Neodiprion lecontei: one gene and its partner. The protein of the gene in region 1 interacts with the protein of each later gene in a pairwise test. Links are inferred from orthologs where the notes say so. Each region holds a gene or a part of one and is shown in the gene's direction. Other genes may lie near its edges.

What was found.
Region 2: the proteins of E3 ubiquitin-protein ligase AMFR (region 1) and ubiquitin-conjugating enzyme E2 W interact in a two-hybrid assay, tested with the Homo sapiens proteins (2 studies listed by BioGRID and IntAct). The link is inferred for Neodiprion lecontei from reciprocal best matches to the Homo sapiens genes AMFR and UBE2W.

Annotation. Positions count from the first base shown.
Region 1 is NC_060260.1:39,792,492-39,797,532, reverse strand, and holds the start of E3 ubiquitin-protein ligase AMFR, read left to right. Parts: upstream 1-1,838; 5' UTR 1,839-2,051; exon of another isoform or gene 2,052-2,172; intron 2,173-3,020; exon of another isoform or gene 3,021-3,151; intron 3,152-3,267; exon of another isoform or gene 3,268-3,333; intron 3,334-3,539; 5' UTR 3,540-4,059; coding exon 4,060-4,326; intron 4,327-5,041. UniProt on the Homo sapiens protein: E3 ubiquitin-protein ligase that mediates the polyubiquitination of lysine and cysteine residues on target proteins, such as CD3D, CYP3A4, CFTR, INSIG1, SOAT2/ACAT2 and APOB for proteasomal degradation.
Region 2 is NC_060265.1:21,203,605-21,209,368, reverse strand, and holds ubiquitin-conjugating enzyme E2 W, read left to right. Parts: upstream 1-1,872; 5' UTR 1,873-2,096; coding exon 2,097-2,120; intron 2,121-3,134; coding exon 3,135-3,485; intron 3,486-3,941; coding exon 3,942-4,017; intron 4,018-4,257; coding exon 4,258-4,271; 3' UTR 4,272-5,200; downstream 5,201-5,764. Other genes in the region: protein MCM10 homolog, read right to left, coding at 1-1,299. UniProt on the Homo sapiens protein: Accepts ubiquitin from the E1 complex and catalyzes its covalent attachment to other proteins.

The DNA of each region.
Region 1 (5,041 bases):
AAAACTTGAAGAAGACTGCCTTGAATTATTAAGTTCGCGCTGCGAGTTGCTTGACAATACTTTCACGCACCTCGGACGCTGCTTATTCGAGTTGTAAATCAGCCGTTCGGATACTTATATTACGTATGTACATCATACGTATATGTATACCGGACGATTTTCACCTCGCAGTTTAACCAATGTCGAGTCAAAATTTCGCAGAATTGTAGAGGAAAAAAAAGGCAAAATATACTCCGTACTGAAATCGACTCTTGTTTCTACAGACTGTAGCAACAAGCATAATTATTATCTAAATGGCGTATTTATTGTAGATATACTCAGGTTATAACCCGTTATCGTAAATGGGACATGGCTGTACCACTTTTGATGAATGGACAGTACAACATTTTTTAATAACAGCAATATTGCACGCATAATTATTATTGTTAGTATAATTTTTTCAACAGTCTGAAGATGTGTGAAAAATCTAACGTAGTAGATAAACTTAAAATGATAACAGACGCGAATCTTTTTAGCAATTTATAATATGAATTTTACTCTGGTTCGGTTTCATTGCTTTATTTTTTTTTTTTATTTTTCCTCCACTTTTTAAGATTGTATTTATTTTTATCGTTTGATAATATTATTTACTCATGATATACACGAGCTTCTTTTATTTTCTGAGAAAATTATTCAACATGTTTTCTCATATAGCAATGAACAGACCTGTATATGTAAATAACAGTCTTTCAAGCCAATAAATAAGACTTATTTCAATAACATACTGATAACGACAGCGAAATTGTTACAGTAATTAATTGTTTCCTCCATTGTAATTCCTGCAAAAAAAAGGTATAATTTCAGTATACTTTATTCGGCGCTAGAAATATTTTCGGCAAATATACTCTTTGTTTAGTTCTTACACATTTTCAATCAGTTCGTAAGTTAAATAGTAATGTCGGGTCGATAACTCAAATTCTACCTATCGCTACATGTTTGAAACAGTTTGTCTTCTTGTTCAAAGATGTCTTCGCAAATTGGCTACCTTGTAGAGCTAATGTTGAAACGTCATCGAAAAGTGCCTGACCAGTGCTCGGTAGGTAAGTGAGCCCAGGGCCATAAGAAGCCCTGCCAACGATCCGGTAGCTTCTTTATCGGCGGGAGCCGCTTACCACGCTATCTCATGAGAAAAAAAAATAAAATAAAACTGCAGTAGCGGTCTTGGTTTTTCACGGGTAGCAAAATTCTACCGTAGTATTTTGTTCCCGACTTTTTGATCAATAGGAATGCCAACACATCAGGGAAACGCTACGTAGAGTCTCTATAGAACGAAGTCTAGCGCTACCTGGTGCGCGCTGAATGTAAACTACCTGTTTTCTTAGCATACTTGAAGGAGAAAATTGCAACCGCAGTATTTTGCTGCGCATGAAAATCTAGACTTCAACAATCTTCAGTCAACGGCGTATTTGAGACTTGAATTCCGATATCAAGTAATTGTGTTTTTTTGAATTTTATGTAACCACAACGAATTCCGTGTGATCATCAAACTGAAACAACGTTCACGGATCCTGGAAATTCACTTGAATCACAGAATTTTTCCGTTCGTCTGAATAACGATCTACTGTTTCATTCATATTGCATTTAGTACAATGCATCTTCCCGCCTCAGTCGCTTCGAATAGCGCCGTCTTAGGTTCGACAATAAAAGCGGTAGGTAGCGCTACCTGTACTGAGACGCAGGCGTCCTTCCCGTCGGTAAGTTACCGATCGATCATCGCCCGGCACCCCGCCGCTGCGGTAATCCGAACGATCCGCGCCGAAAGCTGCCTGCCGCCTAGATCACAGCACAGCCTCGGGATTGGTCTGACCGCAAAGTGAAAAAGATGCGTGTGCAGTGTGCACGGGTACCGAGTGTCAGCCGTGGCACGAGAAGCCTGAAGGTTGTCAGTCGCGTAGTCGCGATTCCGCGGCCGAAAATCCATCCCCAGTTGAGATAATAATCCCGGAACGGATTTCACACCGTATCGGTGAAAAATTAGTGCGTGGCGGGTGCAGAGTTCGGAGTTTCGCAACGTAAGGTTACAATTCCGTCGATATTATGTCAGCAGCCTCGGTGCTGCTCGTAGCGAACTGCTGTTAGGATCCAGGAGAGTTAAAATTCGCCGACTGGGTTACGACAGAGGTACGAAAATTGGTGCGGTATCAACGCGGAGAGTGATAAGAAAAAAGAAAAAAAAAAAAAAACAACAAAACTCGCGCTGCTTGACCCCTGATTACGTGCATCGTATAGCTGGCAATTTATTGGTTATGTGTCGCGTAGATTTGCCGTTGAATTCTCTAAATCTCTCCTCGGTATCGAAGAAAAACTCGGCGTTGCAAACGCCGCTTTGCGCGTGTGTGTATGTCCCCCCTCCCTCTCTCACTGTCCCTGCTTTCATGCCTTTCGTCCTTCTCCTTTTTTTTTTTTTTTCCACCCAATAATCACCCGTACGTATCACACAGGCAGGTAATCCTGGGAGGGGCGAATACTTAATTTTCTATATTAATACAAACTCGAATAAATCTTCCCCCCCCCCTCCGCAATTCCTAGATCCGCGATTATATTTATGTCCGAACAGCAGTCGGAGTGAAATGACGGACACATGTAATTTCCGTATCCTATAAATGATCAGTCGATGTAAACTTCGATGTGAAGGAAAGGATTTACCGTTGATTTAGTTTACAACCACAAGTCTCGCATATTATAATATTCATATGTGAATAATGAAATTCGATACCGAGACAAACAAACAAACGAGATATTTCTTTCCCTCCTTCCATCTCTCTCTCTCTTTCTTTCTCTCTTTTTCTGTCGACGACTCGTCTCAAATGCTTTCCCCGGATCGCCCTCCTTTCTTTTTTTTTTTTTTCACTATCCCCCCCCTATTTCCCCCCCCCCCCCCCCCCCCTTCCGCGTTCTCTCGACCTGTCACTTCTCTAGGTATATGCCGGACCTGCGTTTCTGTTCATCGACGCATTGACCGCAGTGCCGAGTGCACGCACCGATATATCACAGTTTGTTTTTGTTCGTCGTCTCTGTCTATTAGTTTTGTTTTATTTACAAACGTCATATAATTTTCGTCGTTGTTTTTTCGGTCCTGATCTCCGCGGTCCGAAATTACATCTCCTTCTCGGTTAAGTAGTCTTAAACCCGGTGTTACATAACCTCACTATTTCGAGTCGCGAAGCCGGTCGTCATTGTTTTTTTTTTCTTTTTTTTTTTTTTTCTCAAATTTTACCGGTATCCTATCAATTGAACCTCGTAGCGCGAGAGCCTGATTCATAAAGTGACAGCAGTGATATGTGAAAGATTCGTGTAAATGTCATAACTTTTACATGTTGTTTTTTCCCCAAATTTTTTTTTTTTTTTTTTTTTCACACCGTTTCGAATATTCAAGAATCGGTGTGAAAAATTGAAAAAAAGAAAACGAACAAATGAGTAGCCCAAAAATCAAAGGAGTTGTAGTAAACTGAGTAGTATACCGTACAGTCAGAGTAATTTTTTGTCGCATTCGATTTCAGGTTTTTAAACTCTACCGGTGATCGTCGGACGTCGAACATACATATTAATAAATTGGGGAGTGAGTGTTGGTGTACCTAAAAATAACTACCCGCATCTATTACGAAGCGCCGCATCGACTTAAATAAACATTAAAAGCAAAGCAAGATCAAGGAGAACGAGACGCAGAGAGCCAAAAATAAAAAAGCAATTCGTCAAGTTTACAATTGTAGTAAAATACCGTGAATAATTGCCGGCGTACTTAAATATTGCGACAACAATCGTGTTTCTTTCAACCAGGTGCACGCAACTCCGTGACGACCGAGAGTAAAAAGTTAACCGAGTAGAAAATATCGAAGAAAAAGAAAAACAAGCGAGAGAGAGAAAGAAAGACGAGGATCGACGAGGTGATCCAGAGAACCAAGAGAAACGCATTTGAGGTGAAACCAGCCTGTAGTGAACGGTGGTGGTGGTTGTGGTGGTTGTCAAGTAGTTGCACTTGACCCAAGTGCGATTAATTAATTGTAAAAATAAAAAGTAAAAATGCCGATGGTTTTTCTCGACCGCTTGCCGGTCCCGAGCTTACGCGCTTACACCTCGATAAGCATCGCGATATTGTCCTGTTCGATTTACTACGCTGCACAAATCGTCAAGGATCCAGGATGGCGGAACAATCATCCGAACTCCTTGGTCGCCGCTGTGGGAAACGCCACCGACAACAATGCATCGGCCATTGTCGATTCCAGGACCCTCGGTGTTCACATGAGGGAACTTTTTGCCTGCATGGTTCAGGAGCCGGGATGCATATGGGTGAGTTTCACTCGACACTTGTTTTTTTTTTTTATATATCACGAAGATTAAGTTAGTAACTCAACTTAAGCTAGCGTGTTTAGGAGAACTCGTTGGAAAATTGGTAGACCTTGGTGAACAAAACATACTCGTATAATTTTGAAAGCAAACTACTTGAACGTTATTCGGATGTTGCGGAGTAATGATTGATACTAACTTCAGTCTTGTCCTTTTTTTGTCATGTTGAAGTTGGGAACGTGTCGTGAAGATTCATGCTGAGAAAAAACCGTTAATTCGTGATTTTGGAACTGTTTGAAACTCAGTAAACCGTTATAACAGAAAACATACTCATATTTCACAATCTTAGTTGCTTAAAAATCATTGTAACAAATAAGAAATTGACGATTTTATCCCCAGTGTTTCGTGAAGATAACGTTCCTAACTTCAACCTCGTTCAAGTATGAGCATGAAGTTTAAGTAGCGTTACTGTAACGATGCTTGTTAATGAAAAATCGCTACTTCGTGTCTTTAAGAATTTTCGAGAATTAGTAAATCATTATAAACAGAATATAGTTTAATTTTGTAAAGCCACTTGCTTGAAAGTCGTTCTTAAATTGCCCGATAACGATGATTCGTTAGTCTGAGGTTTCGTGACGTTAGTTAACGTTACTGACTTCAGCCTGATGGACAAATCGAGTCTTATCGGCAAGAGAGGTTTTGAAATTGCTAATGTCAC
Region 2 (5,764 bases), on another chromosome or scaffold:
TCCAGGTAAAGATGGCTGATCTTTTGGGAGTGATCCCCTTAGCTTAGCTAATCTGTTTGCATCCTTCTTCATCTGATTACTCGTCAATTCAACCAAACTTGCTTTCTTTTTCGTTTCTACGTTATTACTTGATAATTGCAAGTTTGTTCTTGTTGGGGTAGGATTTTGTAGAAGTTCCAATCGAGCCCGATCTTTTTCTAACATTTTAAAATTTCTCTTAGCTGGAACTGCCGTAAAGCTACGTCCACCATATATAGTCTCACCTTTACCTAGTAACTTGTTCTGCAAAGCGTTTTTTGTAGACACACCTCTGCTATTACTGGATGATTGTAAATCGGATCTCCGGGCGCATTTATTATATTCTTGTTGAACGTGATATATACAATATTCACATTTATGTAAGTTTACTATACTTGTACATGGTTCACCATTTTTCTTTTTCGATTTACAAACTCCCATGTCTTTAGACACTCCCAATATCATTATTCTTTGTCCATTATCAACAGATAAGGCTGCCTCATTTATATTTTCATCTTTGTTATCCAGTACTCCTGGGTTCAAAACTCCAATCACCATGCCAGTATTAGTTTTCCAAAATGATTTGTAGGCATCACCAAATAAAAATAAAGATACGGTTTTAATACCATCAGACAGGTCACTTATCTTCCAGATACAGTACTGGTTTCCTTTTTGTGAACTGCGTGTACCAGATTTGTTGATAAGTACTCCGGCAATTACCCAGTCAGTTTGGAGATCTGCAGTGTTCAAGTGATATTTGATTCTAGAAACTGTGACTGGTGTTCTACCTGTCATTCTTTCCTTTAGAGAGGCTGAAGACACAACAGGATTTATAATTCTTAACCCAAATATTGGGTCGCAGTATATGTCTTTTGATTCAGTCTTGGTGGAGTCAGGTGGACAGCATAACTCAGTACTGTGATTTTTAGTGAAAGATCCGGATGTATTTTTAAATGTTTTTGGATAAGAGGTGTTTGTTTCGGATGCATTACTCTTTAAAATGTTCTTTATCTCTCGACCTGAGCTGGAGTAATTTTGATTTTCAAAATCACGTTTATCTTCATCATCAGATGAATCCGTATCACCATTGTGAATCATAGTTTTTTTACCGAGTGTAGAATATCTATGAGGACTAGGAATATTAGTTTCTTGTTCTAAAAAGTTGAGGCTTGATTCTGTTGGCTTTGATTTTTGAATGGATGCATCTGCATCTTCTGTTTCATCATTTGCTAGCAGATCTTCTAGCAAATCTCCAACGTCGGAATCATTGTCACTAGCCATGGTCAAACAGGTTTTCTACCTAAATAAAAAAGCAAAAAATTCATTGAAATAAAATTCACTGTTATATCTATTGTATTCTTAGACTTGGTAGATAATTAATATCATTCTTCTTTTACCTTTGGTGTATTGCCAGACAATAGTTGGTTAGAACAGAAATCTATGAATCTATAAAAAACGTCAAGGAAGTTGTATATTCAGGTGGACATTATTATGTATTAAATATATCAATATATTTGATGCAGCACACGTTGCACTTATCACTACGGTGGATTTCTGTCAAAAATGATTACTTAAAAACCAATATGAATTTGCTGACACATATCTTTACATTTGCCTCGCCATACTTTTTGGCGGGTAAGTCACAATTAACAATCACGAACTATATAGAGAGATTGGAACGAGTAGAAAACTCATGGATAATAATATGGTAATAATGAGTAGTCCGACGCTGCGCCTCTAGCGGGAATAATTGACACACCTGTTGGTAATTACAGTCGTCAAAATTTTATGCGGGCATCTCTGACGTTACTATTTCTAGCATGGATTGTGTGGTCAGAGGTCTGTCTGCTGTGGCCTGGTGCTGCTTGTCTTTAGTGTCAGTTTGGATTACTGTCAAATTAACAAACTTGTTTCCAAATTAGGCGCTACCAATGTATCTGGAATAAAGTTGATATAATGCGATTTTATAGCTGCAAATATTCATCACCTCTTACCGTTCAGATACCAAACAATCGTCGTTAAAGTTCATAATTTTCCGATACCATGAATGGTTATGTTTCAAGTGCTGTTTAACAATAATGGCGGCAATGTCCCCGTCCGAGGTGAGTCGGTGTTAAATTTTTTGCGAAATGCAGGTGAATGTCAGATTATTCTGACTGCTACTACGCTTCTAAGTAGTGTGCAAATTTTATTTTACTGGGTAGCTAAAATTGAGATACCAAAGTGTATCGATTGGGTATCTAGTCCAATAACTACGTGAGTGCATTGTCCTCTTGGGCCAATGTGACGTTTTACTCTATTTATTTATTCCATTTGTCAATTTTAGTTTTCGTCGCTTAGTCACGTGCCAATGCAATTTGTATTAAATCTTTTGACGTATGTGACTCATGATAATTCTGAACAATGAATTTCTATGCTTAACTGAAAGTGATAACATATTTTTATCCCACCTTATGACTCACAAACGCAAGCAAAATAGTCTTATAAAATGAAAAATTATGGCTGGTCTATAATGTACAAGACTGGATTATGTTTGACACTTCGAAAACTGGATTATTATAATTATTAAATTTAATGTGGTCCAAGCACATTTGTTCATTTGTGACAGATGTCCTAGATTTTATATATCGCTTCTGCTACAGAAAAATGCAAGATAGAAATTTTTACTTTAAATTATTGTACAACCGCCACTAGTTCACAAATAATCGAATATATCAATGTATTTGCCAAGGTTGTCACAAACCTGGGAAATCGGTAGAATAGGAAAAAATCAAAGAATTCACAAGTTGCTAAATGAAGACAAAGAAATTTGATTAAAACTTGCTAATGTAGAATATAGTCAATTTTGATAAGTTATTTGATAATTGCTTACCTACTGTTCCAAGAACTTCATTCCGAGGCAGTTCTCTGTGATAAATTTTATTAATATTATGGTACATAGATACTTTGATATTTTACTAGGTTATCTACAACAGCATTCAAAATATAACTAGTTAATTACCCGTGGGTTTTACTCTCAGCAGATTCTGTGGTATAGTCTCCAAATTCTGTTAGTTATTCTTGACCCTCATTTGAATTACTTTATCTGACAAAGAATAAATTTTACTGGATTTCAGCGGAGATTACAAAAGGAGTTGATGTCATTGATGCGTGAACCACCTCCTGGTGTTCACGTAGATGGTGATCAAGCTGGCCAGAATCTGACACAATGGATAATCCATATGGAAGGAGCAAAGGGGACGCTATACGAGGGTGAAAGATTTCAGTTGCAATTTAAGTTCAGTTCCAAGTACCCATTTGATTCACCTGAAGTCACATTTATTGGAGGCAACATCCCTGTTCATCCACATGTCTACAGCAATGGTCATATCTGTCTGTCTATACTGACTGATGATTGGTCACCTGCTCTGAGTGTCCAAAGCGTCTGTTTAAGTATAGTTTCTATGCTGAGCAGTTGCAAAGAAAAGGTAATGCTCTAATATTTTTTATGTGGTTTTTTTTTCTTGTATGATTTTTCTTTTGTTTTATATTCGTTCCTCGCTATCTTAATTGACTCATTGAGTTGTTCAAAGCGTTTCAAATACCTGGTTTCCTCAGTTGACTTGTTCAGTTTATGAAGAATACATTTAACTGTGAAAATGAAATAATGAAGATCTTAGTTCATCAACTCTTCTGAGTTATAGTTCGAAAGTTTGGATCTAAGTTTTGTTCATCATTAGTAGGAATGATCTGTCAACAAAAAAGCAGAACATTGAAAGATGTTCAAGCTTCCAGTAATATTCATTATTTTATACAAAAGAAAAATTTACCACAATCTTCAATTCCTTCTTTTGAATATTTGAAGTTATTATTGAGTATTGAGCAATTTTATGCTATGGGTGAATCTTTCCAATTCTAATTGTTTTTTTATTTTTGGTTCGCAGAAAAGGCCACCTGATAATTCCTTTTATGTGAAGACATGTAATAAGAATCCAAAGAAAACGAAATGGTGGTATCACGGTACGTTCGTACACTGCACAAATAAAATATATTTGGAAATCACATGGCTTGAAATTTTATCATTATTTTCAAGTATTAAAATTGTCATGGATGTTTAAAAAGCTACCATATTAAAAATAATGTCTGGATAATTGGAACAAAACATGAATATCCTTGCACTCATACAGTTGCAGACATCAGCTTGACTTGTCGTGGTAATATATATTATATGTGTAATATATTCTATTTCTATGCCAACAGACGATAGTGTTTGATTCTTGAACACTATTAATCTTGGACTGGCGTGCGCTGACAACTGGCGTAATTTGGACCGAACTATTGATCATGATCAGTTGATCGACGCGATCTGCGTATTAAAAGAATTCGAACAAAGGAACATAAAAGAGAAACGCGTTTGGAATCGTAGAAACGTTCTTATTGTGGCGATAGTAAATTAAATAAATATAATGAAATATAAAGTCATAAAATAATACTATTAACAATAAAAATCCAAGAACAGGAAAGAAACATTGTGATTGAATCAGTTGTGTAAACGTTGGATTATACAGTATTATTATTTATCTCAAAGTGTAGAAAAGAGAAAAAAAATTCATGACATATTCTTATCCATGTCAGAAATCATATGATCAAAAAACTAAATGGCGTATTAAAAATTTCATCGCAGTAAAATATCATCCATTAGTTAGCATTAGAAAATCAATTTCTCTGTTGCTTGTAAGCATCAAAATCGCATGAGTCAATAATTATTTGCAAAAAAATGGGAAATTTTTCACAAACGTATAATTTTTATTTAAAAAGAATATATTATATCCTACTTTAAGACACGTTGGATATGTTTTCACATTGATTTCAGATGCATTTTAGAGTTTGGAGAAGTGCCACCAAATTTGAACCTTATTTTAATCAAGGAATTAAAATTTAGCTTGAAAATATGAAGGATCATTTTTTGTATTACCAGGCCCTGATTTGTGATGAAAATAATTTTATTATCAAGTAACATAATTTTTCCTCTTACCTCTCTCACATATTAACATAAACAACTGACCTAGCACAAGTGTAATAATTATTTGTTTACGACGGATCTCAATCACAATTCTTACAACATTAGAAAATCAAGAAAAGTATTTAATATCCTATGGCACTATTAAAAAGCGCTGAATAAATATTGTCCCTGAGTTTTTAATGCCGTATCTTTTCATTTCATTGAAAACTGTAACTGTGTTTGGCTTCTCGAAAAAGAATTTTCCCAAGTTTTTTCACTTTTCAGCACACCACGCGTGTCTGACGAAGTAGAGGATGAATTATTACCTACTGCGCTTCCAGTGATGATGAAAATGTTTTCATCACTGATGTATAAATTTCACGATAATGACCACCACACATGCCTCAAGGTGGGAGTCTGCACTTAAAAACTGTGTAGAAAAGAACTATTGTTTCTGCACACAGTATCTTTTCTTGATTTTATTGAATAGCTTGATTAATTCAGTGCAGTGTTAATCAATTCCTGAAATGTTGCTGATGTTGAGTGGCTAATGGATTTTTGACAGTGCGCTACTATGATGTTATTCCATGTGTTCTTTTGAAATCCCTCACCCAACCATCTGATGCTTTGAAATCGAAATTTCCATCGAGATATTGCATAGCAGCAGCCATTGCCCATTCTTTCAGCAAGCCGGTTGTGACAGTAACTCTTCTGTGATTTTTTACCTCAACAAAACGATCATAAACATTCTTATTTATCACTGCT